4 linked regions of the Struthio camelus genome follow. The protein of the gene in region 3 interacts with the protein of the main gene of each other region in a biochemical or structural test. Links are inferred from orthologs where the notes say so. Each region holds a gene or a part of one and is shown on either strand. Other genes may lie near its edges. The genes, in order: NR2F1, CCNA2, SP1 and ESR1.

What was found.
Region 1: the proteins of SP1 (region 3) and NR2F1 form a complex in vitro, tested with the Homo sapiens proteins (2 studies listed by BioGRID). The link is inferred for Struthio camelus from reciprocal best matches to the Homo sapiens genes SP1 and NR2F1.
Region 2: the proteins of SP1 (region 3) and CCNA2 form a complex in vitro, tested with the Homo sapiens proteins (2 studies listed by BioGRID). The link is inferred for Struthio camelus from reciprocal best matches to the Homo sapiens genes SP1 and CCNA2.
Region 4: the proteins of SP1 (region 3) and ESR1 form a complex in vitro, tested with the Homo sapiens proteins (6 studies listed by BioGRID and IntAct). The link is inferred for Struthio camelus from reciprocal best matches to the Homo sapiens genes SP1 and ESR1.

The regions. Positions count from the first base shown.
Region 1 is NC_090982.1:54,170,499-54,177,491, forward strand, and holds the start of NR2F1 (COUP transcription factor 1), read right to left. Parts: upstream 3,014-6,993; 5' UTR 2,935-3,013; coding exon 2,487-2,934; intron 1-2,486. UniProt on the Homo sapiens protein: Coup (chicken ovalbumin upstream promoter) transcription factor binds to the ovalbumin promoter and, in conjunction with another protein (S300-II) stimulates initiation of transcription. Binds to both direct repeats and palindromes of the 5'-AGGTCA-3' motif.
Region 2 is NC_090945.1:19,618,670-19,626,163, reverse strand, and holds the start of CCNA2 (cyclin-A2), read right to left. Parts: upstream 3,010-7,494; coding exon 2,854-3,009; intron 2,665-2,853; coding exon 2,403-2,664; intron 2,295-2,402; coding exon 2,179-2,294; intron 1,801-2,178; coding exon 1,577-1,800; intron 1,036-1,576; coding exon 831-1,035; intron 1-830. Other genes in the region: BBS7 (Bardet-Biedl syndrome 7 protein), read right to left, coding at 4,221-4,357, 5,363-5,486, 6,696-6,799, 6,908-7,017. UniProt on the Homo sapiens protein: Cyclin which controls both the G1/S and the G2/M transition phases of the cell cycle. Functions through the formation of specific serine/threonine protein kinase holoenzyme complexes with the cyclin-dependent protein kinases CDK1 or CDK2.
Region 3 is NC_090969.1:3,370,641-3,377,725, forward strand, and holds the start of SP1 (transcription factor Sp1), read right to left. Parts: upstream 3,017-7,085; 5' UTR 2,859-3,016; coding exon 2,852-2,858; intron 2,379-2,851; exon of another isoform or gene 2,327-2,378; intron 1,364-2,326; coding exon 1,269-1,363; intron 574-1,268; coding exon 1-573. UniProt on the Homo sapiens protein: Transcription factor that can activate or repress transcription in response to physiological and pathological stimuli.
Region 4 is NC_090944.1:81,057,823-81,065,186, forward strand, and holds the start of ESR1 (estrogen receptor), read right to left. Parts: upstream 3,005-7,364; 5' UTR 2,908-3,004; coding exon 2,852-2,907; intron 1-2,851.

The sequences.
Region 1 (6,993 bases), on a different chromosome or scaffold from region 3:
AAGGCAAACAAGACAAATCCGCCCCCCGGCCCCCTCCCCTCTCGCAACAAAAGGCAACCCCGCACATAAAAAAATAAAATCAAAGAAATCCTCCGGGTGGTAAGAAAGTGGGGTTAAAAATCACAGCCAGCTGTTAAAAATATAGCCAAGCTCTGTTGTGTATTCCAGCCGATTGCCCTGGTAGCACTGAGATTTACAAGTGAACTGCTGCGTTGCTTTTCTTTCCTTTTTCAAATCATAAAAAATAAATGCGTCCATATTCTTCAAAAATATCACATCATTACCCTTAAAACTAGACCAGGTCACAGCCCCCCAGCTTCCCACTGCTAACTTTATTACACAGAACAAGCTTTCCATACAGGACCCCCCTCCCCCGCCCAGCAAAGTTCGCCCTGCTAAAAGGAAGAGAAAGATTAAATATTGTCAAGGGAAGGGGGAAAATAAAACAAAAAGGTCCGAACTTACAATAGCCAAACATTCGTGGAAAAAAAAGGGGACGGTGTAATTAATATCTTTGGTGCGCTGTTGCCACTGCAAAAGCCTGCAGTCAGCGTTGCACAGTGAATGCACAAGCTTGCAACTGCAAAAACACTGGATTCATTAACCATCTCCACACAGAGCGTAAGCATGCCTCGAGTCCCGAAAGCTGACCAAAGTTTTTTTTAGTGTGTGTGTGTGTGTGTGTGTGTGTGTGTGTGTGTGTGTGTGTATGTGTGTGTGTGTGTGTGTTTCACTTCATCAGTGCCAGCGTTTTAAACCACATGCCATGTAAACAAAGGTAACTTAAGGAGAAGATACGGCTACTCAGGCTTATTTCTATATACACACACACACACACACACACGTACACACATGCATACACACACACACACACACACAGGCACACAGATAATTCATCTTTCCAGCATGCCACATTTTCTCAACTTTCTCTTTTATTCCAGCGTAGCAGAGCACGTATGTTCCCCACCGAGCCCTCCACGTCTCGCGGGCTGCACCTTCCTCTTTCTGCCCTCCAGCCCACCTCTGCCTCTTGAATCTGCTTTTAAACTTGGCAGTTATTTTTCAATTAACTGCAAGCACAATTCTAAGTTTGTTGGTGGTGGTTTTTTTTTTCCAGACGCCTACCAACAACCCCTGAAGCTACCAATGAAGTCGTCATATTTGTGAGCTCTTTCAGATCTGGAGCAACTCCATTTCTTTTCTTGTGGCATATAAAATATAATTTTAAAACCAATTAAGGCAGTAGTAATCCCCACTCCGCAAAATCGACTAGGTCGCTGTGACTCTAAGATATCTTTAACGATAGTCACAGGATAAACTTTAACTGTAAACCGAGAAATACTTTTCGAGGAGAAAAGAGGGCAGGAAATCTTCCTACGCGAAAATAAGCCTTAATGCGAGGAAAACCGCAGCAACTCTTAGAAAGGAGAAGAAAAATAAATAAATAAAGGAGCACTTGGAAATGGTGAGGAGCCCACTGCCAGATGCGGACTATGAATTCTGCTAAAATGAGAAGGATCGGTAAATAGGTTATAAATCGCAATTTGTATGCAGGCTTTAAGGAGAGGGTGGAGTTTGATGAAGAAATAAAATGAGCAGCGTGCTAAAAAAATGACAGAAGTACAGAAACCCGGTTCAGTCACAAACTTTCCTTTGAACGCATGGAGTGAAAACAAGGCCAAATCTCACACAGAAGCACACTCCAGGGCACTGGGAAGCACAGGGAAGCAGAGATACAGTAGCACATTTCCCCCTCTTTTTTTTTCTTTCCTACTTACACGTCTTTCATCTTTCTTTCGGGAAAGATGAGGCTGGGAATGGATCTACCGAGAAGTGTTGTGGGTTTAAAGAGAAATGATGGGGCGGGAGGGGGGGAAGGAAGCTGAATGGGAGCACATCTCGTACAGAGATGCATCTCCCCCCACCTCCCCCCCCAGTCTCATGCCAACAATAGACAAAACCACATCCACACACACACACACACACACACACACACACACGGAGATAGCGGCTAAATGATAAATATTTAGTGAGCGATCATAATAATAAATTCTCAGCACAATGAGCAGGGAAGGGAAGAGTGTGGCGGTGCTGGGGAAGGGGGTGGGGAGGAGCAGGAGGAGGGCAGGAGGCACAAACCAAAAAGCAAAAGAAAACACCACCAACCACCATCAACAATAACAACAAAACCTGGTGCAAAGCTGCCAGATGGAGTGCAGGCACAGGGAGAGATTGACATGTGCATGTAAATACAGAGAGAGACCTAGATCGCCACGGAGAGCTGTAAAAATATATATATGTGTGTGTGTGTGTGTGTGTATATATATATGTATATATATGTGCTTGTGTGTGTGTACGTATACACACACACACACACACTCACACACTCACTCTCACACACTCGCACATACACACACACACACACACACACACACATATAGCCATAGGGAGAGAGAGCGATAGTATAGTAGGGAAGAAATATTCACCTTCCCGCCTCATGCCCACTTTGAGGCACTTCTTGAGGCGGCAGTACTGGCACTGGTTGCGGTGGTGCTGGTCGATGGGACAGTTCCTGTTGGCACGGCATGTGTAAGTTAAGTTCCTGCGGACGCTCCTCTTGAAGAAACTTTTGCAGCCCTCGCAGGTGAACTGGCCGTAGTGCTTGCCGCTGGATTTGTCCCCGCACACCACGCACTCGATGTGCTGCTGGCTCTGGCCCGAGCCCTGCTGGCCCGGGCCCTTGTCCCCGGCCGTGCCCGGCGTGGAGGGGGGTCCCGGCTGGCTGGGGGTCTGCGGGGTGTGCGGGGCGGCCGAGCCCCCTTGCTGCTGGGGCGGCTGCTCCCGGGCCGGCTGCGCTGCGGGGTTGGGGCCGCTCGGGGTGCCCCCGGCCACGTCTTCCTGCGGATCTCGCCAGCTGCTAACTACCATTGCCATATCTCGGGCCCAAAAAAGTGCTGGGGAGCGGCGCTTCTCGCTGCGGGCTGCCGGGGAGAGAGGCGGGGGGCGGGGGGGAGGCGGGCGGCCGGGCGCCGGGGGCGAGCGGGGAGCGAGGGGACCGTGCCTGCCGCCTGCCGCCGCCTCGGCTGCCGCCGCCGCCGCCGCCGCCGCCGCCGCTGCCCTTGTGCCGCCGCCGCTGCCTGCCGGGGCCGCTCCTGCCGTTTTCTTTATTTTATTTATTTTTTCCGCGAGCCCCCCTCCTCTCGCTCGCTCGCTGGCTAATTTTTTTAGGGAGGGGGAGGGGGAGATGGAGGGCTTTTTTCGCGCTCCCCCCCCTCTTAAAATACCCCCGTCTGGCTATTTCCCCCCGTCTCGCTCTCGCTCTCTCCTCTTCTTCTTTCCCTCCCCCCCCCACCACCACCACTTCAAGTTGCAAAATCAGAAACGGCAAATAAGGCTGTCGGGAGAGGCATTCAGGAGAGTAACACACCGGACACACACACACACACACACACCCGCGCGGCGCGCACACACACACACACACACGCACACGCACACGCGGTCCGAGCGCTAGGAGTGCAGAGGATGTGCAGACATAGAGGAAGCCGGAGCGCGGAGGAGGAGGAGGAGGAAGAGGAGGAGGTCGGGGCCGCCGCTCGCCGCCGCTCGCCGCCGGGGCCCGGCCGCCGCCGCCGCTGCTGCCGCGGAGGCTCCCGCCGCCGCCGCCGCCGCCGCCGCCGCTGCCGCCGCCGCCGCCGCTGCGGGCTCTCGGGGCGCCGGGCTGGCGAGGCGGGCGCTGGAGGCACGGAGAGGAGCCGGCTGCCGGCGATCAGGGCATGGAGGTGTCCGGGGGCCAGGTCCAGGGCAGGGCGCCGTCAGCCATTCAGGGCGGCAGTGCCGGGGAGCGCGGTCGAGGCGGGCTGGGAGATGAGACAGTTTGATTTTGTGTTGGTGGCGGTGGTGGTGGAGGAGGTTGCCGGTCGCTTCTCTTTCTCTCGCGCTCTCTCTCTCTCTCTCGCTCTCTGTCTCTCTTGCCTTTTTTTTTTTTAAAGAAAAAAATACAAAAAAAAATATCGGATGTGACTAAATTCGCAGAGGAGACGAATTCACGGCGAAGTGTAAAAATAGAGAATGGGAATAATAATGACACACGCAGGAAAAAGAGAGATCCAAAGTAGGTCGAATAAATAAATCCTCTTCTTTTCCTCTTTCTTGTCCCTTCCTTCTTCTTCTGTGAGAACACACGATGCTGGTTGCAAAAAAATCAGTGGAAATCGCCCCAAAAAAGGTTCTTTTTTTTTGTTTGTTTGTCTAAAAAAAGTATTTCGGGTAAAAACTCATCAGCCAGAAGCAAAACCCTCCCCCAAAATAAAAAAATAGACAAGAACGGTCAAAATAATAATGGTATTAAGATGTGAACGCGTTCTCTCTCTCTCTCTCCGGGCTTTTTTTCCCCCTGTCTCTCTCTCTCTTTCTGCTTTTTTTCTCCTTTTCTTTCTTTCTTTTTTTTTTTAGTTTCACCTCTCTCTTCTTCTCTTCTCCTGCAGGAATGAAGCGAAAGACACAAGGAGGAAGGGTGGAAAAAAGAAGAAAAGGAAGGAGAAGAGGGAGATGAAGGGAAAAAAAACAACTAATAGAATATGCAAGAAAGGAGAGAGAGCGAGAGAGAGAGGGAGAGAGAGAGAGAGAGGGAGAGAGAGAGAGAGAGAGAGAGAGAGAGAGACCCAAAAAATGAATGCGTTTAAACGGGAAGCCTAGCAGAGCAATGTTTCCGAAAGGGGGATCTGCGCGAATGTCTGTATATAGTGAACTTTGACACTACTATTGAAACTGACACGTTTCTATGGAGATCGCTGCCTTATATGGAGCTCATGTCAAGGAGCCAAGAGAAGGGCTGCTGGCAACTGATAATCAAAGGCGACTGACTGGTCAGAGCCCTGAATTGGGGGGAGAGAAAATGGGAGGCTAAGGTTAGCCAAGCCTCCTTCACTCCATTGGTTACCCCCCCCCCGGTCTTTTTTTTTTTTTTTTTATAATTCTCTGCTACCTACTGACTGGGATGGGGAAGGGAGGGGAGGAGAGGGGGGGGAGTGAGGGAGGGAGAGGGGGAGCGAGGGAGGGAGGGAGGGAGAGGGGATTCTTCTGACAAGCACAATTTACATTGAGATCGCCCTGCGCTGCTATTTACTTTGAGACCTGATTAGTATGGGTCGTCTATGGTCTCCCTCGCTCGCTCGCTCGCTCTCACACACCCATGCACACACATCAAAAGAGGAGGATGCATTGCGATAGGCGGAGAGGGGAATTAAAAGGGAACGATTTGGGCTCCCCGTGAAAAGTTTTTCATATTTTAAAATGGGATTTCTGTGTCTGTTTTCAATTGCAAAAACCAGGCGAGGGATTTTAATGATGGAGAAGAAAATATGCTTTATGCAGGAAGGGGTATATGTGTATGTGCGTGTGCGTGTGCGTGTGCACAGACACATTCACGTACATATTTACATCTGCATATACTCCTGTCCCACTTTGGGCTATTTTTGCTGCTGGTCTGTCTTGCTCTCATTCCTCACCGAATATGTCCACCCTCCTTTTATTATACTGCCCATGGCCCCGGTGGGGTTCACAGTGTCATGAAATGGGATCAGAAATCAACACCCGTCTTTGCTCGGGGAAAAGCATTTTTGGGGGTGGGGGGTGAGGTGGGGGAGGGAAGCGGCCGGACCAAACCCGAATGCCTGTGCCCGCCGTGCCCCCCCGTGTCACGCCCGTGTCTCCTCTTACAGAGCGCGGCTGGCCGCCAGGAGAGCCCCGCCGGCGAGTAATAAAAGCCCAAAAGTAAGTTCTGCGCGCGCCGCCTGCGCGGATCGATGCCGGTGAAGCGCAGTCCCCGGCGGCGGGGGTTGCGCGCCCGCGCAGGCCGGCGCGACGCGGCGCGGCGGAGGGGCGGGAGCGGGGGGCGGGCGGGCGGGCACGGCGCCCCCTCCGCCGTGCTGCGCCGCGCCGCGCCGCGCCGGGGCCGCGCTGCGCCGCGCTGCGCGCCCCGCTCCGCCCGGCGCGGCCCCGGCGCGGCGGTGGCGGCGTGGCGCAGCGGAATCGCTGGATCCGGCTGCCATCTAGCGGACAGGCACCCAGCCGAGCCGCTGCGCCCGCCGCAGCCACCGGCTCCCGCTCCCCCTCCTCCGCCGCGCACAAAGCCTCTGCCTTTTCTGAAGCAGTAGGAAGCCACAAAATCTTTTTATGGCTTTTTATCCCCCCTTCTTTTTTTCTTTTTTCTTCTTCTTCTTCCTTTTTTTTTTAAGTGACTGCACTGGGGAAAAGAACCCCCTTCTTTCTAGTTGCGTACCTCTCCTAGCCTCCTTTCTCACAAGCCTTCCTTCCCTGAAACCTCCCCCTTTCTGCGAGAGGTTTAAAATTCGCTTTGGGTCAGAAGACTGTTTGTGATAAAGAAGAAAAAAACTGCAAAGAAAAAGAGAGAGAGAGAGAGAGATGAGGGAGATTACCCTCCTCTTAGCTCCCATAAAAGTTTATAATCAGATTGGAAGCCGGGGGAAAAAACTGCAGGGGGAAAGGGGATGAAATATATGACAAAAGTTTTGTTGTTATTTTTTTTGTAAAGAGATGTTGCTTTCATTAAAAAAAAAAAGCCCTCAACTTTGACGTATCATGATCACAATTTTATTTTTGTGTCAGCTCTGAAATCTGAGACTGAGAGCCGGCTGGAAAGGAGAATCCTTCATCATTTCTGAGATCAGACTAAACGCTTGATTTTGTCCTGAAATAATGAAGAGATTTTCAATGAGCCCCTTGGCCAAGCGGTCTCTATTGTATATTGCATTGATAAAAAGGATGTTATTGACTATGCAACAGTAGGCTCCTTTCCTCTCTCTCCTTCTTCCCAAATAAACTCTCGGTCCTGTCTCTTGGTCAGTGAGAAGGTGAAACGAATAAGATTAAATCAGACAAAAAAGCGAGCTCCGTATGTATATCATCTAGATTTTACTCCCCAGACTGTGAAGAGACAGGGAGTAAAAGAGGCAGAGCAAGACACAGAGAGAG
Region 2 (7,494 bases), on a different chromosome or scaffold from region 3:
TCCCATGCAAACTGTTTCAATACCACGTTTTTATCTTTAGAGGTAAGTAAGATCTAGAGGGAAGAGTCCAGTCACGTCTGACCTTCGCCTAGCGAGACAACTGCTTCCATTTAGCGTTTCTGGCACCTGCCACACCTGGCATCTTTGCGTTTAAGAAAGCTTAACTTTATCCAGATAAGCCCGAGATGTTTGCTCTGCTTTGCTTCGAAAAAATAGCTTCTGGATTTAAAGCTCGATGCTTGTTCCCCAAAAAACAAGTGAGTGTCCTTTCTAGCCAAACTGAACCACTGAGTGGACAAGTCCACCCAGACAAGATACTAGCTATTCAAGACGTTAGTTTTCGGTGACCAATACGTTTATGCATTGATCCCTATTCAGTTTCCACAGGAAATTTTAACATGGAGACTTAAGAAACGATGTCCCTTTTTGGGGAGGAGAGTGTTAATTTTAGGTGGGAAAGCATCAGGGAAAACATCCAGCACGGAAAAAGACCCTGAATTTATCAATCTCAGCCTGCTTTGAGTAAGCATTCATGCTTGAGCCAGGTCAGGTGCCAGAGTAGCTCCACTACTAAGTAGCAGACAAAAGTGTTAGTTTCCAATGGCAGAGCCCCACCACTGGAGGAGCACATGGCACAGCAGGCGCGCTCTCCAGAAGTCTCCTCAGGAGTCACGTTACTGATTTAAGAAAGACTGGGAGACAGAAAAGCCTGGACTGAAGTATCCTTTACCATTTTTCCTTTTCTATTGGGAATAGAAAACAGAGCTTGTAAGGTGCCTTAATAAGATAACTTTCCAGTTACGCAGATTCAACTATTAATTCTTACTTACCATTGATAAGCTCTCAACTTTAGCACTTGTCTGCTCATGTAGGAAATACTGGGTAAGGAATTGGTTGATCGTTGGAGCTGCCAAGTCAAATGACAAAACCTTCAAAATTAAGTGCTCCATCCTTAGAACTTGCTTCTTGGTATAGGTGTCATCTGTGATGTAGACAAACTCTGCCACTTCAGGAGGGTAGATTTCTTCAAACTTCCTGCCATAAAGAACAGTTATAAGCAAGTAATTGCGTAGCAGAGAACCAAGTAACCAGCAACAGTTAGTGAAAGACAAGTAGCTGTATACTGTAACTCAATAAGTTTGCTGCATCCAGTTCACTAGGTCTTGGATCTGCAGACTCTGAAGTTATGGAGAGCTACGCTCAGCAATTTTACCATTAAGTACTTTGGGACTCAAGAGTTACTGAAGTTCCTGAAAGTGTTAGGAGACTAACAGTTGCGAGCAAAATTTCCTTTTCACGTTCTTTCCCCCAAATACGTTTGAAAAGTCTTTTGCTGCCGCAACTAGAAATAACGAATCCTCACATTAGGCCAATCCACAAACACAGCCTAGAACCTCGCTTGCAGAGTTTGACACAGGCTACCAAGCTCTTAGGGGGATAACTGCTGCTTCTTACCTAGTGTGAAACCATCCCTAGTCAGTCTGCCTACAGACAACAAAACATGATAGCCACAAGAGAAGATTTCCATCTGTATGAGACCAGCAGGTGGAATTTTAAATTAAGCAGTTTCACTTACGATGCAAGCAACATAGCTGCAGTACCCACAAGCTGCAGTTTTCCTCTTAGAACAGACATTGAAGAAAGAAACCGATCAATGTAATTTACAGCTAAGTGCAGGGTTTCATTCTGTAATTTGTATTCTTCTCCAACTTCCACCAGCCAGTCCACAAGAATAGCCCGCATGTTGTTTGTGATATCAGGTTGCTTCTTCATGTAACCCATTTTAGGCTTGCATTTCACCTGTAAGTTTTGATAACATACAAGGTTTAGTTTGCATTAAGTGCTTGCAGGGAAGCAGGCATTTCAACTCTATTTATCGTAGTTAAAGGGTTTTAAGCAGGGCAGAAGCAGCCAGCAACGGCAAACGTAGGATCAGCAAGCACTTTTTCTGTAGTCTTGCTTTCCCGCTTAGGCCGCAGCGCGTAGCACAGTCACAGGACGCAAGAGCAGTCCTGCGTTCGCAGCAGCGGACACAGCACCCATCTTCTCCCTCTCCCTTTCTAGCAGCCTTCTGCTTTGGCCACCGTAGCAGTTAAGTAGCGCTCCGGTACGTTTCTCGGCCCGGGCTTTCTCCCGCCCTTAGCCCTGCTCGAACCGCGGCAGCTCGCAGCTTCTCACCTCCATTTCCCTGAGGTACGTGTGGATATCGCCGACGTAGTCCGGCACGTTGTTGACGTTGGGGCTCCTCTCTCCCGCGTCGGAGGTTATCGAGATGTCCATAACGCTGGGCGAATCTGCGGCGGGGCACAACGGCCGCGTGAGCAGCGGCACGGGCGGCCGCGGCCCGCCGGCGGCCTCGGGGCAGCGCCCGGCCGCCCCGCCGCGACGCGCCCGGCACTCACCGCAGCTCAGCTCCAGGCTGCTGCCCAGCGGCGCCAACGGCCGCCGCTCCCCCAGGCCGCTCACGGCCGCCCGCAGCCCCAGCGCCGCCGCCGCCGCCGCCTCCTCCTCCTTCTCGGCCGCCGCCGCCCCGCGTCGCCGCCGCCGCTGCTGCTCCCCGTCGGGCTCGTCCACATGGATGGCGAAGGCCGGCTGGCCGCCGCCGCCCGGCCGCCCCGGTGCCGCCGCCGCTGCATGGCCCTCGCCACCACCGCTCCGCGCCGCCTGCGAGGGGGCGGCCCGTCAGCACCGCCCGGCCCGGCCCGGCCCCCGCTGACAGCCGCCCTGACAGCTCCCGCCGCGCCAAGATGGCCACGGCCGGCGCCCCCGGCCCGCGCGCATCGCCCCGCCCCCCCGCCGCCGCGCGCCCCCGCCGCCGCCCCGCGCGCGCGCCCCCGCCCGCCCCGCACTTGCCTGCGGCGGGGGCCCGGCCCGCGCCGGGGGGCCCCGCAGCAGCCCCAGCGCCACGCGGGCGGCGGCGGCGGAGGAGGAGGGCGGCGGCGGCGGCGCTGCTTTGCCGCCACCGCCGGGCGGGACGTTCTCCTGGTTCTCCTGCTCCGCGAACATCATCGCGCCGCCGGGCCGGGGCCGGGGCCGGGCGGCCCCGCTGCCGGCGGAGGGAGGGGAGGGCAGGGCAGGGCACGGGCGCGACGCGTGCCGGCTCCCGGGGCGGCCGAGTGTCGCGCGGCGGCGCCGCTCTCGCCGTTCAAGTAGCCCGCGACTATTGAACCGGCCAATGAGGAGCGCGCGCGGGCGGCGGCGCGTCACGCGGCCTACGGGCAGCGGCAGGGGCCAAGGGAGAACGGGGAGAGGCGCGCTGCGGAGCGCAGGCGTGGCCTGCGGCGAGAGGGGGCGTGGCTTGGGGAGCGGGAGGAAGCGAGCATGCGCAGTGGGCGGCGGGCAGGGAGTCCCGCCCCCCCCCGGGTCCCGCGCCAGGGAAGCAGCCCAGCACTGGTGCTTGAACTGTTTTTCAATCTTTGCCTTCCTACTTAATGTCATGACTTATTCTTCTTTATTTTCGTTGCTCAGGAAATAAGAACACACACACACACACACCTCTATCCAGAGGCTGTTTAATGTCTTTTAAGTTTAAATTAAAAAGTCAGATGCTAAAGAGCACACTGATTTTTCAGTAAAGAGTACTGGAAAGTAACTTGGAATGAGTTACAAAATGAAGAATTGAGGCAAATGAGACGCATGGAGGAAATTTAATGCAATCCATTCTAAACAAGAGTTCACATGCAGTTTTTAAAGTAATCGTGTAAATCTAAAATTCAGAGATAATTCTCCCCACTTTCATGTGTGTCAGTTACATACAATGTGCTGATAGCATTGAAGCACTTGCTCAGTACCGCTAACAAATAATATAGCTACACATCAAACAGCTGATTTTCTCCTAACTGTCCTAAGTCCATGAAAACAAATTTCCTCATACATTCTTCCAAATGGAGAATATTCCTATTTATAGTCTCTAACAATACTGAAAACGTACTCCTGCAAAAAGGCTATTCAGTATCTGGTTCTCTAGTTTTCCTTAGCTATGAAGAACATTTTGTGTATATATAAATGACGTGTGCATTTAACACGTACAACAGTTTATATGAACTAAAATGGACCAGTATTCAATATGGTAATAAGTAAGAATAAAATGAAAGCGTAAAAGGAATAATAAAAACATTTCTCAAAAAATAATGTATTCGACTCCATAGTGGACTGCCTTGGTTGAAAAAATAAAAATAAAAAAAAATAAATCACTCCGCCTTTTCCTTGTTGCTTCCAATTCAGGCTGCAGCCTCAAAAAAAGCAATTAGTCCATCTTGATCACAGCCATCCAGAATTTCCAGAAGAAGAGGAACTTTCGTTTTCACATTGGTGCCTTTAAATTTAAATTTATCTATGAAGAGATCTGTGATCATACCTACAAAATAAAGTTCCAAGATTTTTATTTGCCTTGTTTTCACCATGAGATATCTCTACTATTAACTCTTTGCTATGTATAGACTATTCTAGTCGATTTTGGTTTTAGACACGAGACCGTTTTTAAACTTCATGTTTTAAACAATGATTTTCTTTTGAATAAACCCAAAGCACTCTCCTGTTAGCCCAGATTCCAGCTTCATTCCAAAGCAGGTATTTCTGCCTTAGAATTACCCATACTTGAAACACTCCGGAGAAAGGAACTGTCAAAGGGTATGAAAGGAGAACTGGGTTTATAATGGATACATTATCAAATTAGCACCTGGCAGAGATTACTTGAGCTAAAGGCTATATGGGGAGCACCAGAAAAGTTAACAGAATTTCCTTCACTTAATTACATCAAAGATTCTCCCTTCCCATCCCATGTGTATTTTTCTGCTTTTCTGTTAACTTGTAAAAGTCTTTTTCCTGTGGCAGAACTTAATCACTCATTCAACTTAAATATATTCTTAAACGCCATCCTGAATTAGAATACATTTCTGCATCATATGCATAAAGACAAGGATCATCCGAATATGAAAAGCTGCGTAATAGAAAATACAAAAGTAACTTGCTAATAATCCTGTATTTGCATTTGCAGCACTAAGCTTATGATAGTAAGACAATTTTAGAAATTCTCAGGCAAATAATTCTTGAGGACCTTTGGAGAGTTATTTAAATTTGTAGTAGCAGAACCAGTTTTGGTGTGTGCTAAGTTCTACTACCTTACCTTTAACTTTGGAAGGTTATGATCAAAAATACTGTGTAGCCATCCAGCCTAGCTGTATGAGCAGATGGACATATATGGCTAGACACCTCTAGGTCTCCCGAAGCTATTTAAAAGTACCCCCTTATCATATTATTTCAATGCTACAGATACTGACTTCCTAACTATTTCAGTCACGTCCAATGTGTTCTCTGAACATTAATTTGCATTTAGAAAAAAAAGTTGGGTTAATCAACACACCATAAAGTCTCTCGAGATGTGCAGGTTGTTTCTTGTATTCCTCAAGCAGCTGATCTGCCTCTTCTAAAATGCTACGGTACTTAGGTAGCAGGAAGTCCACATTTCCTTCATGAACCTGTAATTCCTCAAAGACATTTTAAATTGTGAAAATTAGAGACTGGTACGTACTAAACAAACATAAAAGCAACAAAAAAAAAAAATCAGCTTGGATCTGACAGGAGGAAATACCTCAGGGACAATGCCCTTCACCATAACTCTTGCTAGTTTAGAAGTGCCTTATTTTCTAGGTCTTCTAATGAAATGCCAGATGTTACTTGTCACTTCATACATTAGATTCTCACAATGCTACGTGTTACATCTTCGAGCTCCGAGTGCTGCCAGAACAGGATCACTCTGCAGCTCAGCCTCTACAGAATCAAGCCTAACGAAGGCCCAAAGCCTTCACCACGCTTTTACAGAATAAACACCTTTAACAGAATAAGTATATTTACAGAGTAAGTACATTCTTTTACAGAATAAGTAAATTCCTAGGAAGTGTAGCACACATTAAAAGTCTAAAGGTAAAAGTAAATCCCAAAAGTACTGCTGAACTCCTAACAGCAAAAGGTTTTAAAGACATCTTCTAAACGCCTCAGTCTACTATTAGATCAAATCAACATAGATCCTTTTATCCCATACAGAAAGACTGGTTTTTTTCTAGACTGAAGGTAATTATGCATTTGAGTCTCCAGGAATAATAGCTTTTATCAGTCGCCAGATTATTTCACTGCCTCTTAATAAATAAATTATTTAGATACCAGTGACACAAAGTTTAAGGTTTGCTAACAAAAAAAGCCTAAAAGCAAGCACAAAACACTTTCTCCAAGAGCTGCAACATCATTATTTATGCAGAAACATATCACGCAGTAAGAATAAATTATTATTTTGTTATCTCTCAGGTTTGTTTAATCAAGCTTAAGTAAAATACTTTTACTGATAATAAAATAAAAATTTACAATATATTGTGTGGTCACCGGTAGTAAAGTTTTTCCACTAACCAAAGAGTTCAGACAACTAGTCCTTTGGTGGAGGCCAGCGCAAGAAGGAATCAGCTGCCCATGTCTACTATCTGATTTAAACATCCTCAACAACAATCAGTAATTCTATGTTTTTCACTGTTATATACTACAAATAGGAGTTTTACTTTAAAATGTTTGTCTCCTAGACGACTACTACACATGTATTGGGAACAGAAAAAGATTAGACAACATTATAACACATGCTGACTTGAGCCTTACAGCTTGATATCTGCCAACATAACCCACACAAAAATCCTTCAGAGGAGAATACTTACTTTCAAAGCATCTATTAAGTGAACCTTCTTGGCCAACAGCTGCTGATACTCTAATTTGGGGTGGATGAGCTTTAATGTATACCTCACAGATTCTTCATTTATGTCTAGTAGGGCATCAAAAAACCACCAAAAACAACAAGCAAATGAGTAATGTTTCATTTAAAAGAATATAAAATGAAGTCAAAGACAATGAAACAGTAAGGAAGTTTTACCATATGATATATTAAGATTAATCTTCCTTTTAGTAGCCTCTTTGGAAAGCACATCTTTTAAGATGGATATGGTAGAAATGTTGTCAGACTTAAAAAATCCCTCACCTTTTCTATTAAAAAAAAAAAAAAAGAAAGAAAGAAAACTTTTAAACAAGCAGACCAACCTGAAACAGATGCATGCATTCGATACTTCCCCATTCTAAAATACAAGACCTATAAATTAACACCTAAATCAGAGAAAGCAACCTCTACATAGGTCATGGTGATTCTTCATATATTGGGTGGCTGCATACACCCATGTTATTCCCTCCTTTCCTAGTCACAGCGTAACCGTGTCAGAGAACGGAATTTGTTCTAGTAACTAAGACAAAGCGTTATCTGCAAGCATACACAGATAAACCAATTTTATCTTATTTGTAGCATGGCATTAAGATTACACAAGTAAGATTTTGGATGGTATTTTATATACCAACATTCTTCTTAAGTTTATCATTCTAAGACCTGGAAGGCAAACAGGAAGGCAAGCTGCAATACCAGAATGGAGAAAAAACAGGCCCTCCACCACAAGAACCCCAACAACTTTCTAG
Region 3 (7,085 bases):
GGTGTTGTTGGCTAAGCCCACACCCTGGATGGGGACAGCCTGCTGCAGCAGGTTTGGCATGGCGATGAGGTTACCCGTCCCGGCTCGGCTAGTAATGATCTGCTGGTTCGTGCCGGGGATGATCTGCAGCTGGCCAGAGGCATCCTGCTGCACATTGACTTGGGCAGGGGTGGTGGCAAACTGGAGCTGCTGCCCATCAATGGTCTGGAACTGGGGAATGACCTGGTACTGGATATTTGGGATAACACCTGGCAGGCCCGTCAGCACCTGCTGGTTCTGCAGATTGGAGGCGGCCGTGACCACGTATTGCCCCGCGCTCACGGGCCGGCTTTTTGATGAGTCGCTGCCATTGCTGCCGTTGGCGCCCTGCTCCTTGGAAGGAGTCGGTGTGCTGGAGCCAGTGGATATGATCTGCCAACCGTTGGCGGATTGGGCAATCTGAGCAGCAGCGGCCGTGAGGTCCAGCTCGCCGCTCCCGCCTTGCTGGCCCTGGGAACTGTTGGAGTTCTCGTTGGGAGACTCGATCCTGCTGCAGGTGGCTGCCAGCAGAGCCAGCGGGGAAGGCTGGGACTCCTGGGAAGGAGAGGAGGAGTTAAGGACACAGGAGGCGGCCCAGTGGGCAGGCCGAAAAAAAAAGAGAAGCCAGGGAGGAGCGTACTTGGAAAAGATAAACACTCCTTCCTGAGAAAACCCACCCACAGCCGGAAAAATACAACTGCCAGACACAGGGCTGTCAGGCCGGGACAAACTGAACCCACAGTGAAAAACCCTCCGGTGGGGAGGAAAGGGGAGGGAGTTTGCATGTAAAACCCAAAGAGACACATTTCTTCCACTCCAAAGCGAGTGAATCTCCTTGTAGCACTACAGGAGAACAACTCCTACAGCTGTTTCTGGGCACCCAGATCAGGGAAAGGGCTGGTCAGGGCCGTGGCAGCTACTTGGAACCAGGGTGTACAGCCTATTTTCAAGAGCACCATGCACAACTCGGGGAGGAGGGGAAACATGCTCTGGGCTGGCACTCCCTGCTGAACACGTTCCAACAGGGTGTTTGGCAGCGCGACGCTCCCCCGTCACTCACTCGCCCTCTCTTCCTTTCCCTGGGAAGAGGAGCCTGTGCAGCGCTTGGCTGGGCCAAACAAACACCTCAGCGCAGCTCCCCGCCCCGGCCCTGGACTTTGCTACGAGGTCGGCAAGTCCCCAGGGTGAGCGGAGCCAGGAAGCTGCCAGGTTCGGGCTGTTCCTTGCACCGCCTCTTTCCCTGCACTCACCTGGCCCTCCCCACCACCTCCGCTGCTATTACTGCTGGCATCTCCTTCGCCCTTCTCGGGCTTCACTGCAGCCATTTCCTCGGGACTCTCTTGGTCTGTGTGGGCCGGAAACAACAGTCGGAGTTAAAATACATTTCTGGGCAGAGGGATTGGGGGGGGGGGGAAGAGGAACACAAGGACTTGAGAGGAGTTATGGGGCTGGAAAAGCAGGGGATTGGGGCAGGGAGAGGTGAAGGCACTCTGGTAGGCACTTTTGGGAGGACCGAGTGCTGCTCCGGCACCAGCGAGAAGGGGCTGGGAAGCAGAGGGAGCTGCCAAAGGGGAGTTGGCACGGAGACAGGCGGAGGAGGGACAGGCCGCGCTCCAGGCCTCAGCTCCTCCCTGCCTGCTCGGGACACTCCCTGGCCCCTCGGTTCTCCTCGGGCCTCCCCTTTCCCTTTCTCCGCTAGCCTGGGAGCACACCTCCCGCTCAGGCCCTCCTTGGCTGGCCCCGGCACCCCGCGGATCCACCCCCTGAGGCTTTCTCCTTGCCCTGCCCAGGGGTTTCCCCTGGCAGATCCAGCCCACTGGCTTCCCCAGGGATCCCCGTCTGGAGAGGCCCCATCCAGGCTAGGATTCCCCATCTGCGCTCCCCGTGATCCCACTGCCCGGTGTCTCTGTTCCCCCTCAAATCCGTATCCTCCTGGATCCCCCCCCAGCCCCTCACAATCCTCCACGAAACCTTCCTTCCCTGGCAAAACCCCTGACCCCCAAAGAACTGGGGCCTGTGCCCCCTACTCCTGCCCCTCGAGCACCCCTTGCCAGGCCCCCTGCAGACCTCCCTCCAGGTCCCCCCAGGTCATTCGTAGGGCCTTCCTCCCCTCTCCGACAGCTCCTTCCCCCAAAACGCTCTAATTCGGCTTCTCCCCTCGCCCCGTGGGCCTTCTCCCCACGGCTCTCCCCCACCCCATGGATCCCCCCCTAGCCCACGGTCCCCTCCCCACAGCTCTCCCTCACCCCTCGGCGGGCTCCTTCCCCCCACCCCACATGCATCCGCCTGCCTAAGGCTCCCCCCTCACCCGGGGATACCCCTTCATCGGTGTGTTCCCCTCTCCCTGCTCCACCCCCGGCATCTCCCCGCATAAACACCCCCTCCCCGGTGCTTCCCCCCCCCCCCCCGCCCGGGCCCACGCCTCCAACCGGGGCGCGCCCAGGCCCGGCTCCCCCCCACCCCGTGACCCTCTCCTCACACCGGGCCCTCCCCGCGCCTTCCCCCCCCCCCCCCACCGCGCCGGCCGCGGCGGCGGCGGCCCCCCCCTCCCGCGGCGGCGGGGCGGAGGGAGGGCACGGCTGAACGGCCGCCGGCCCCCGCCCGGCCTCCCTCGCCGCGGGTCCCTCCCCCGAGGCCTTCCCCCCTCCCCCGGGTCCCTCCCCCGGCAGGTCCCCCCGGCGCGGCGCGGCGGGGCCCGGCCCGGCGCGGCCCGGCCCGGCGCGGGGCGGGGCCGCCGCTGGCCCCTCCGAGCGGGCGGGCGTGTGTGTGTGTGTGGTGTGTCCGCGCGCCCCTCGCCCCCCCCCCCCCGCCGGCGCGGTGGGCCCGTCCTTACCGCTCATGGTGGCCGGGGGGGGGGGCGAGCCCAAGCGGCGGCGGGGCGGGGGGGAGGAGGGGCGGGCGCGCCCGGCTCGCTGACGAGGCGGCCTAACCCCGCCGGTGACCGCCAAGGGGCTGCCGAGGGAGGGAGCCGCGCGCCGCGGCCCCGGCCCCGCGGCCCGCCCCCCGCCGCGGGGCCCGCCAATGGGGCGCCGCCGCGGGCGGGCGAGTGGCGGGCGGCTCGGCCAATGGGGCGCGAGGGCGGGCCGGCGGCGGGGGGAGGGGGGGCCGCGCCGCACCGCCCCCGCGACCCCGCCCCGTGGGGGAAGGGGGGCGCCGCGGGCGGCGGCCAATGGGGGCGCGGGAGGGCGCTGGCGGCCGGGGGAGGGGAAGGGGGGGGCTGGCGTGAGGGCCGGCCAATCAGCGCCGGCGCGGGCTCCCAGGGAGACCCCGTATGGGAGCGGCCAAGGCGGCGTGAACCGCGGCGGGATGGGCGCGTGCCACGGCCAATGGGCGGCGGTCCCGCGCGGGAGGCGGGGCGGAGGCATGACTGGCGTGAGGACCCGCCAACTGGCCTCCGGGCAGCCGCGCTGCCCGCGCGGCTGGAGAAGGCGGGCTCGGAAATTGACGGCTGACTGTCCAATCCGAGGCCGGATGGGTCGGCAGGAACGGGGCTGCTCGCCAATGAGAACGGCGATCCGTCTCAAACTGACCAATGGGCGCCGGGTGGGGGCGGGGCGAACGGCCGGGCTGCGCCCTTGGAGGGACGGCTTGGCGGCGCTGGGAATGTGGCGGAAAAGGCGCCATTTTGGCTCTGGCTCCGCCCCGACCCCAGCCGCCGCCTTGTCCCGAGCGGGGAGCGCAGGGGCCCGAGCTGCCGCCTCCGGGGCGGCCAGGCTGGCCGGGGCCGTGTCGCGACAGTGCCACCGTTCCCTCTAGTCCCATCCTCCTCCCGTCACAACGCCGCACGCGAACCCTCCTCGCAGCGTGTCGGGGGAGGGGGGGGCTGTCATGGCGGCAGGCCCTCGACTCCCTGTTGCGACGTGGCCTGTCACGGCAGCGCCTCAGCCGGGTGCCGTCCCCACAGCCCCGTTGTGACAGGCCGTCACTGTCGCGGTGCCTCATCCTCTCCCTTCCACGGGTGCCAGCTGCCCTGTGGCAGCACCGTGTTAGGGGGCCAAAAGGTGCTTTGAGGGGTGGTGGTGGGGGGGTGTCATTTTTTCCACAAAAGCCCCCAGATTGTGCCAGGTTTATAAAAAGGGAGAGAGAGCCACGGGGCGAGCGGTGACAGGGCCCAGCTCGGGGTCCCGCAAGGAGTAACTGCCCCGAAACGAGGCGGTTTTCCTCCCGGCCGGGTCCTCGAAGGGCCGGGACGTTCCTGGCCCTCGCGCAGAGGCCGCGGGGAAGCGGCGCGCGGAGTCGCCGTCCGGCCTCCGCCTCCCGCCGCCCGGCCCCTCGCATCCCGCCTGGCTCGGCCCCCCGCTTCCCTTTGATGCGCCCCGCCGGCGAGGCGGGACGCCGGGGCTGGCGGCGGCGTGAGCGGGGCGTCCTGCCGCCATCCCGGCGGGACGGAGCGCCGCTTCCCCGCTCCCCGCGCGCTGCCCGTGTTGGTTTTGGAGGCTCCGCTCCGATCGAGGAGTCAGAGGTCGCAGTTTCGGGCAAATCCTTTGCGCGGTGCCCCTGCTGTCCTTCCAAATGCTGTGTTAAGTGACCTGGTTTTTTTTTTTGGTTTTGTTTTGTTTTGGTTTTTTTTGCATCGTTCCCCTCTTTCAGCAGCTGGAAAATTCTGCCGTCGCTAACCATGACCTCACCCCGCTTCCAGCGGAACTGTTTTATTTTTGCTTTCCCCCTCCCGGCACTCGGCCCGCGGCAGCCTGCCCCCCCCGCCAGCAGATTGCAAGCCCCTGAGTAATTAAAATAACACCGAGGGGTTTTTTTTGTTTTTTTCGAGAAGAAACGGACGGAGCGCAGCGAAACAAAACAAACCCATGCCCTCCCTGGGCTCGGCGTCGGTGGAACATCTTCCGGCCCTAATCCCGGCTCCGGCATCTCTCATGTAACAAATCCGCCGGCCTTTTCCCCCAAAACCCTGGCAGCGGAGAGCAATACGGAGCTGGGCGGAAGTCGGACCCGCGGGCAGCCGAGGACAGGAGCATTGGCCCGGCTGTGGCGGCGTTCGGTTGCTTTGGGAAGGCCGAGCAGGGTTGGAAACGCTAAACGGCTTCGTCTTCCCTGTAAAAAAGCCCCAGCTGAAAGCGAAAGAGCAGCCGAAATCGCGGGAGCGTTGGCAGCCTGCTTTTTCCAACCCGCTTCCCCTCCCTTTGCCTCCCAGCCGGCGCGCCGGCCCGCATGGCTGCCGACCGACCCCAGCCCTCGCCCGGCCAGCTCGGGAGACGCCGGGACGTTTCGGAGAGGTTTTCGGAGGGGTGCTAGCGCGTCCCGGGGGGCGTCTGATTCCCGGGAGCCGGGCTGCCGCCGTGAGCCCGTTAACTCCACATCTCCGCGGAAAGGGAGGATGTGGTCGGAGCAGAGCGGCCGGGATGGCCCAGCTCGCCCGTGCCTCGGTTTCCCCCCGCGAGCCGGGCGAAGCCGTGGCTCCCTACGCTGGCCAAGGGTCTTTCAAACCCCGTCAGCCCTTTTTGTCCCCCTCGCCTCGGGCCGATTCGGCCGCAAAGCCCCCAGCGTGGGACCTGCCCCCCTTTCCCCCCCCCCCTGCTCGGGGGGGCTGTCCCTGCGGTGCGCACCTCCGGAGCCGGGCGGTCGCTTTGGTGTCGTCGTCCCCCCCCCCCCAATCCCTTGCCGGCAGGGAAGAGGCCGGAGTTTCACCGCAAATCCCGCTGCGGCCTTGGAAGTCGCCGCCGCAGCTGCCGCGGGGCCGGGGAGGAGGCCGGGCCGCCCCCCCCCTCAACTCCCCCCCCCCCCCGCCAGCGCCGAGCAAACACGGCTTTTCCTTTCATCCGGGCCCGCGTCCCGCGGACTGCGGCGTCAGCAGCTCGTGGGCCAGCAGCTGGGACCGGCGGGGGCCCGCGGCCGCCCCCCCGTCCCCCCCCAGCCCCTGCAGCGGTGGCACCGGGACAGGCCGGGTTGGGGGCTGCGCCGAGCTGCTTGGTTGGGGGGGGGGGAGACACGTGGGGACGCTGAGCGGCGGACGCCGGAGAGCTTAGCGGGGCCCGGCCCTGTGCCTCAGTTTCCCCATCGGCACGGCACTGGCTGGTGGGTACCGGGGAGGTGACATGGCTCCTTTTTCCCCAGCCTTTCCGGAGCAGAATACCACCCCCCCCCGGCTGGAATCGCCATCCATCCTCGTTTCTCAGCCCCCCCCCTCCAAAATCAGGTTCCAAATCCCTGCTTGCTCCCGTCGCTTGCTCCCCCCGGGTGGGCCGGGAGAGGGCCCGGCCCCGCGGCCGACAGAGCTTTGGGGCTTTATCTCCTCCCCGCGCGGCCCGGCTGGGGGCCGCCGGCCCCCGGAGCTGAGTCCTGGCCAGCTCGGCACGCGCCGCTCTTTGTGCTGGACGTCGGGGCGAAGGCCCTCCCCCTTAGCACCCCTTTGCTGCCCATTAAGCCCCCCCCATCACGCCTCGTTAGGAACCCCTTCCCCATTAGCAGCCCAGGACCCCCATTCCCTTGCGCTCCCCCTCTTGCCCTCACTGTTCCCCATTCCCCCATTGTTCCCCATTCCCCCATTGTTCCCCACCAGCCCCACTGTTCCCCATTCCACCCATTCCCCCCGTGTTCCCCAATCCCCTATTCTTCCCCATTCCCCCCATTATCCCTAGTGTTCCCTATTACCTCCATTCCCCCTTTGCTCCCCATTCCCCCCATTGTTCCCCATTCCCCCCAGTGTTCCCCATTCCCCCATTGTCCCCCATTCCCAACATTCCCTTCATTGTTCCCCATTGGCCCCACTGTTCCCCGTTCCCCCATTGCTTCCTGTTCCTCCATTGTTCCCCATTACCCCATTCTTCCTAGTATTCCCCATTACTCTCATTACCCCTACTGTTCCCCATTCCCCCAGTGTTCTCCCAGTGTTCCCCATTCCCCCCAGTGTTCCCCCATTTCCCCCCAGTGTTCCCCCAGTGTTTCCCCTTTTCCCCCCAGTGTTCCCCATTCCCCCCAGTGTTCCCACATTCCCCCCAGTGTTCTCCCAGTGTTCCCTGTTCCCCCAGTGTTCCCCCATTTCCCCCTAGTGTTCCCCATTCCCCTGTTCCCCCGTTGTTCCCCATTCCCCCAGTGTTCTCCCAGTGTTCCCC
Region 4 (7,364 bases), on a different chromosome or scaffold from region 3:
CCGGCAAAATCTCTAGGCATATTAACTTTTATGAAATTAGGTATTTCCCACCTCTCATAATAAAATATAATAAGCAAACAAATTTTCCTCTAATTTTCAAAAGAGATAAGGGGAAAGAAAATGGAAATTTTCCCAGGGATCAAATACAGGAAATTTCAGCCCAAAAGGTAAAGGGTTCCTAAATGAACAGCAGCTGATGGAAAGATGTTATAGCAGATCTAAAGATCTAATAGCAAATCTTAATTAGAGCAGGCATCACAATTCCCAGCTAAACAATAGTGATACTACCCCACACAAGCCAAGGAATTAATAAGGAAAAACTACATTTTCTTGTTAACACAAGTCTTTCTCAGCTGAAACTTAAATCAAGATCAAATTTGATTACCTTGCCTTTTGTATTACTATCACAATTTATTTAATTTCATGTTAATTTTGTAGCTACTTCATGTTAAATAGTTTAGAGAAGTCGAGGGAAAACAGAACAGTAGTAACGAATTCTTTTCACTAATTGGAATGGGATCGCCATGAACAAGAAAAAAGAAAAGGGAAGATCAAGAGAGATGGAAAAGGTATAGACTATATGCTTGGTAGGAGAAATTAAGAGAAAAACAAAAGAGACTTTCCCTCGCTCTTCTACACTCCCTCTCTCGACTTTTCATTGAAATATGACCTCATGAAAACCCTGAACATGTTAGGGCGTGAGAGGAAGCTATCAGCAGATCACAGAAAGCATTTTGTTTGACAGAAAGCAAGTGGCTAGCATCAAGCATTCTAAACATGAAACTTTTACTATTTAAATAACATCAAAGAAATTTCAAAGTAAAAGCTGATTTTGTGTCAAACATCAAAACATTTTATCATGCAAATGACAAAGTAAAGTTCCTAATGTTTTGTAATGCTTTTTTCATGTCCTGGTTTTAAATGGAAAAATTTGGTGAAACACAGGTGAATTTGCTAAACGCTTTTTGAGAAGCCCAATTTTTTTCTGCCAGAAATTTAATCCTGCTCTAAATGTGCTAGCTAGCTAGTTCTAGATACAGTGTGATTGCAAATCAGGCTCAGAATTAAAGCATTTCCTACTACAGCATGCATACTATTCCAGTGTAATGTAACATAGCTTAGAATAATGTATTGTAGGAAGATGATACTTGCAGACGGTGATCCCCTGGTACAGTAGAAAATAAATAGAAACTATTCCAGCAATAAAGCATCAAATTAGTACTAAGGCACAAAACTCAGAGTCCGTATTTAGAAAAGGAAAATTGTCACTAGTCATTAGTATTGGCAGTCAGGTCTAAAGAAATTTCTGTTACTGCTATCATTATTTAACTTAGGCTCTCCAGGATCAATATTTTGAGGACAGGATGTATTTTCAATTAAAAACAGTCTGAGCCTCCAAAAATATTTGATTAAAATAAATACACCAATAAGTAGCATAACCTTCAACATACAGCCAAAAAAAAAAGCTTTCAATTTAATTATTTAGATTATCACAGAATTATGGCCATATATAAAACATTCCTTTAGCTATTTACTAGCTGTGCAGGAGTCACCACCTCCTTTTCTTTCTTTCCTAGCGTTGCAGGCAGTGCTTATCAGCTCAGCCACCAGGACACACAGTAGGACAGGCCTTTGGTCTCATCTGTGTGGGTCCTGGCAATGGTCCTGCTGAGGCCAGATCCTGTGTCTCCTTCACCAGCATGGAGGCAGGTACTGCCTCTCCCACTTTGCATCCAAACCCTTTTCAGATGTATTATTTTTATATTACAGAAAGTGAGAGTTAAGGGGGAAGGGAAGGGCCCCAGAAAAAGAATGAGAGAATCCATGGGAAAAAAGTGATACATAGGTTTGCCATGGAGCAACTGAATAAGCAGTGGAAAAGAAGAGCTTTCCTACCTCTAGCTTACCTCTCCTTCCAAAACTTTATTCACATTTGTTGAATTTAAATTCGGCTGATATCGGTTAATAATAAATAAGTTTAGCTGATATTTGGCTGGTTTTGCCACTCCCTAATTACATCCTCTTCAAAAGGACAGGATGAATTCTAGCATACACTCACGCACATATATGCAAGACATAGACTAATTCTACCACTTGCACATACACACCCACAAGTGCCTATGTGAGTATTTTTTGTATATACAAAAGCCCCATGAACATTTTGGTTCACTTTGCTGTTGTCTCTGTTCCAAGTCTTGTTTTATGCTCCTTCTCCAGGGGAAAAAACAAAACAAAACAAAACAACAACCCACTCCTCCAGCCGCCCATAGTGATTCCTCTGACTTCTGTGAGGAGAATTGTAAGAGAGAACCATCACCCAGAAATACAGCTGAGGCAAGAACCCTTCTCCTCCATGGGATGAGGAGTCACATGGGCATGAGCCAGGAACCAGTAAACATCAGGATTTATGAATCTTCAGAAGTAATGTGTTGCTCACTTCATCTATACCACATCTGTTCAGTAGTACAGGCTACCAAGAAAATAAATAATAAAGCTCAAAATCTCTACCTTGATCTTCCAGAGGCTCATTACTCTGAGTCCTGGATATCAAACAACATCTAAATCTTTTGGACACAGGTGAAAAAAAGTTAAATTGCGCACGAGACCAAGTTATTTTGTAGCCAATCCAAGACCGCAGAATGAGCTGCTAAGTAGGAATTCGCTCTTCACTGCTTAGGCCAAAACCCTATTTATAATGATCAGATCCGGACAGTATACTGGCAGTCAGATGATGCCATGAAAATATTTCTACCATATCCTTCCTCCTGACAGACCGAAGCTATCATAGCTACTGAAGCTATGAAGATTAGACAAAATTGACTGCCTATAGCTGAGCTTCCCCTACACGCACCTGACTGCCTGCTTCCCAAGAAGCAGGCTTCCGGCTGAACACAAGTGATGTGTCATGCTGTGCTGATCCTTGCATCACCTCGAGCCACCAGTGGAAGCAGCGCTGGAGAGCAAATCATGCCCTCCACACGTAGAGGAAAAACGACCACCAGGTAGAAAGTGTGTCAGGACATGCTGGGTCAGACAGCCATCTGCCTCACCCTACAGGCTGCCTCCAACACTGTCTGAAAGCAGATGTCTAGGGAAGAGTAAGAACAGGCAAGTGTATGAGTCACTTCTCCCAGTACTCACCCAACCTCCAACTATTTCCTGTTACGGAGACTTCCTGAGCCAGATGCAACTTCTGCAAACCATGTATGGGGTCATGTGTATGCCACTGAGAAGGTTATTTGAGGAAAAAGGAGCAAGGACCTCCCTCTCAGGTCAGTACACTGTATTTTCAGTAAACACACTCTTGAAAAAAATTACATAAAGCCAAAACCTGTGGCAATAAAGCAATACAAAGGATAAATAAAACAAGGATCTTCTGTCCTGTTCTCAGCCATACTTCTTAGAATGATTTAGCACTATCCATCAGCAAACTTATCCTTAACCACATTCTTTATATTTTAATATCCCTTTAAACCATTTTTTTAGACATTAGTATATTCTGTTTCTTTCTAAATTCTAGGGAGCCCTCATCCAACTTATGAACTTCTCCCCAGTAAAAATCTGAGCAGAAAAAAACAGATTTTTTTATGAGTCTTCAAAAAAATCAACAGGAACGTATTGACAAATTTATAAGGAGAGGCAGTTTGATTTCTAAATCCATGTGAAGGAAGCAGTCACTGCAATGAAACAATGAATGCTTCTTTAACATTCAAGCCAAGAACATTCCTTGAATCTTCTGCCCTAAGTAGGCATCACTTCCTGGAAGAGAAGCAAACTTTGTTGTTGATTTGAACTCGTGTCTGAAATAACGATGAACCGAAGGAAAAAAAAAAAAAGTGCATTAAGCTTATAACAAGTAGTTGTAACCTACTAATAAGTTAATTCACGCTACATGAACAGAACAGCCCCTTTGTTCTGGCTGGTTTCACATCTCTGTCCCAGCAACAATCTGACTAGGTTACTGAGTGATAAACTGATGCAATGCCGCACAATTCTGGCAAATTTACTCAATCAGCAGCACCTGTGACATACTTATCTAGATACAACAATCTATCAGAGGTAGTTAATCCTTTGATAGGGTGCCACTTTGACCATAACTCTGTCCTTTCATTCAAATCTTTGGGGAAAAATGTTAGTTATCTGCTTTTAGCACCTAGCCCTGTACCAGAATTGCCTCAAGTCTTCTCAGAAACACAGGCGATGGAGCTCTGCAGACTCAAGGGTAAGCATGTCGGCTGGGGTGCAGGGGAAGGGAGAGGAAACAAAAGAGGCAAGACAAAGAGAGAGGGGTTGAGGTAGATCCTTAAAAAGCTAAACCTGCCTCTCCTTGACTGCCAACATAGCAAGGTGGGCCTGGTGAGCACTGGCTGCAAACTCTTTCTCCAGCAACAACCTCTGGCCACCCCTGGGGGGAACAGTGGCAGTGGCAGCAGCAGCAGTAGCAGCAGCAACTCTCCTGCCTTTCCAGAGCTCTAGCACCAGCAAAATAAGCAGTGCCATCCACGCTTGCCCACACAAGTCTGCACTGAAATCTAATGGCTAAATTCTACCTAAAAAGTAGAAAAGGCCTAAAAGTTAAATCATAATAAAACTAAGAAAAAGGAGAAAAGGGAACTGTTAAGGGTGCCCTAACTGGGAATGTAGTAAATCTATAAAGTGTGCCCTTCCTGGCTGAAGTCCAGCGCAGAGACGAGGGACTGCAGTAACTGGGACACATACACAGAGCTCCTGCTTTGTTTTAGACAAACTGTTACTCTACAGATAGCAAGCTGCCAAACTTTATGGTCAAACTTTATGAGCTGTCAAACTTGTTACATAAAGAATTCGGAAATACTGTATTTGAAATCTTAGTCAGTATAGCTGTAATGGGCTCTTTCTCTAATACTATAATAATTTATATACCGCATGGGCCAAAGAGCTAAATCAAGAGCAAGATGAATGTATCTCAGCAAGCAGAGGTTCTTATGCTCTGTTTCCCTTCCAGCATATTTCTTACCTCAGACTGCTACTTCAAACAAAGTCCTCATTCTTCCTGTTCCCAATCATTTTTTTTCCCCAAAACTTCCGTTCTACATGATTGCCAGTCCCAAATATCCACAAATTAGGTCTTATTCGAAAAAAGTTATGATCTGGTTTGGTTTGATTTGGGTTTTTAACCTTATCATCACTTTTTTGTTACCTTTTGGATAAAATTTTCCAAATTTTCTCTGCATCTGTGAAGAGTAGAAGCTCACAAAAAAGAGAGAGAGAGAGAGAGAGGAGAGTGATGTAATCACATAACTCTGACTTTTTTTTACTAAAAAGTGCCCATATTGCATAATCTGCAATACAAGCACGAGCGCATTCTCCATGCCTGTCACTTGCCAGATGTCCACCCTCGAGGACCTCCTCCCCACAGCATCTCCTTCTCCAGCCCGTTCCCGCTTCCCAAACGTCACGTCTGAAGCCCATTTGCTGTCCCCAACCTCTTGGGGCCCCTTGTTGGCCCTGGATGGCATTGCCAGATCCTCCCTGCCCTCTGCCACCCCTGGCCCCCAGCATGGCCAAGGATGAGGCCTTTCCTGGGGGCACTAACAAAGTGCGAGATTGTTGCCACCACACGAACCTGACCGGGATGAGTGTTGGCTGGCTGCAGCACAAGGTTGTCCGGTCCGCTCTGTCCTCCCCCTGGGGCCCCGCGGCTCTGTGCCCCACGGCTCCGTGCCGCCTTCCCGCCGCTGCAGGCGCGGGCTGGGCCTGGTCCTGCCACCTGCCACACACCCGGCTCAGGCCACACTCCACCATCTGTCTTCTGGTTTTGCTCTGCTTGCCATCTTCTGTCTGTGGAGCCTCTATGCCCCAGGGCACCTCTGAGCAGCTGGCCCAGGGCAATTGTACCCAGGATGCCCACCAGAAGCTGGCTCTGAATTAATATGGACTGGATGGGAGGCAGGGAGGAGGCCCGCAAGCCTCAAATCCTACAGTAGAGCCCTGGGGGCTCTACTGGCCTTACCGGCCCTGCATGGCCTCCCAGGCCTGCCCTCACCCCAGCCCCAGGCCCAGGAGCCCATTTAGCTCAGCCAGGGGCCGTCAGTCCATGCCACAGCAGCTGTAGGTTTGTCTGTCTCAAGCCCAGCCTCTGGCCCTGCCTCCTGGATGGGCACCTCGCAGCCGACCTGTAGCCTTGTCTCCAGCCCCGTCCCAGCCCTGTCTCCCTTTGCTCCTGACTGGACCTTGGATCTGGCCAACCCCCTCGCTGAGCCTGGGGCTGTCTCCAGACCCTGCTGGCAGCATCCAGCTCTGCTTGCCCTGTTTTGAGTGCTGCAGGGCGCACTCCTGGGCGAGGGCACGGCTGCGCTGGGGTCACCATCAGGTCCCGGCTCCCTGCCCTTCGGGAGCAGCCAGCCCTCACTACACCTAGACATCTGTATCCTGGTCAGGTGAAAATCTAGAGGAGAGCTGCTGTATCCTGGCTGCTTCCTGCGTGCACCCATTGCTACCTCTCAAGCTTTTCATAACTTCAGCTTCTGGAGATTTCCAGTCTTGATACTTCACTGCCTGTGCTTCAGGGTGCTCCTTGCAAAGGCCTGGTGGTAAATCCACTCCTAATTTTTTGTTTGTCATATGTAGGAGTGATCTTTTCGTCCCTAAGACTAATGTTCTGGGGGGAAACCTTTGTGTGATATTTAAGACAATGAAGAAAAGAGATAGATGCCAGATACAGACATGCAGACTGACAAACAGATAGACTGATCGGGAAACTAGTGAAAGTACAAGACCATTCTCGCTGCTGAACCATTCAGGCAACCGCTGTCACATTTTGATTAATATCACAGAGGAGAGGGAATTTCAAGGCAGGCTCCAAAGCCTCCAAAGAGTACCCCAAAGAGTAATTTTTTGGATATCATTGAGAAGAAGGAATTCCTCCTGTGTGGGAGGGACTCCTCAAGTTGGGGAAGAAAACACAAAACATCATCTGGTTTGAAAATCTAATAAGTAAGCGGTACAGTCTAGTATCACAGCCTGGTTAAAATTAGGGATTAAGATTCAAAGTTAAACTGCACATGCCAGTCAGCATGGATGTCCAAACCAACACTGACGTCCAGGCCAGAGCAACATGAAGGATGAGAGCTTTGTCCACAGTGATCAAAAAAGGAAGTAAGAGAGCACGGAGAAGGAAGAGGAAACAGAAGAAGAATAAAAGATGATGAAACGAGTTCTGTTTTAGTTCTGTTTAATCTGAGCTGATGGTCAAACACCCATGAGAAATATGCCAAGATTGGATAAAACCTGAAAGGAGAAAAAGCTGAAGTATAAAAAATCAGTGCTCCTCCCCTTCCTTCCACTCTTACCAGGATTACTGGAATATAGTTAGAAAGAGGAAA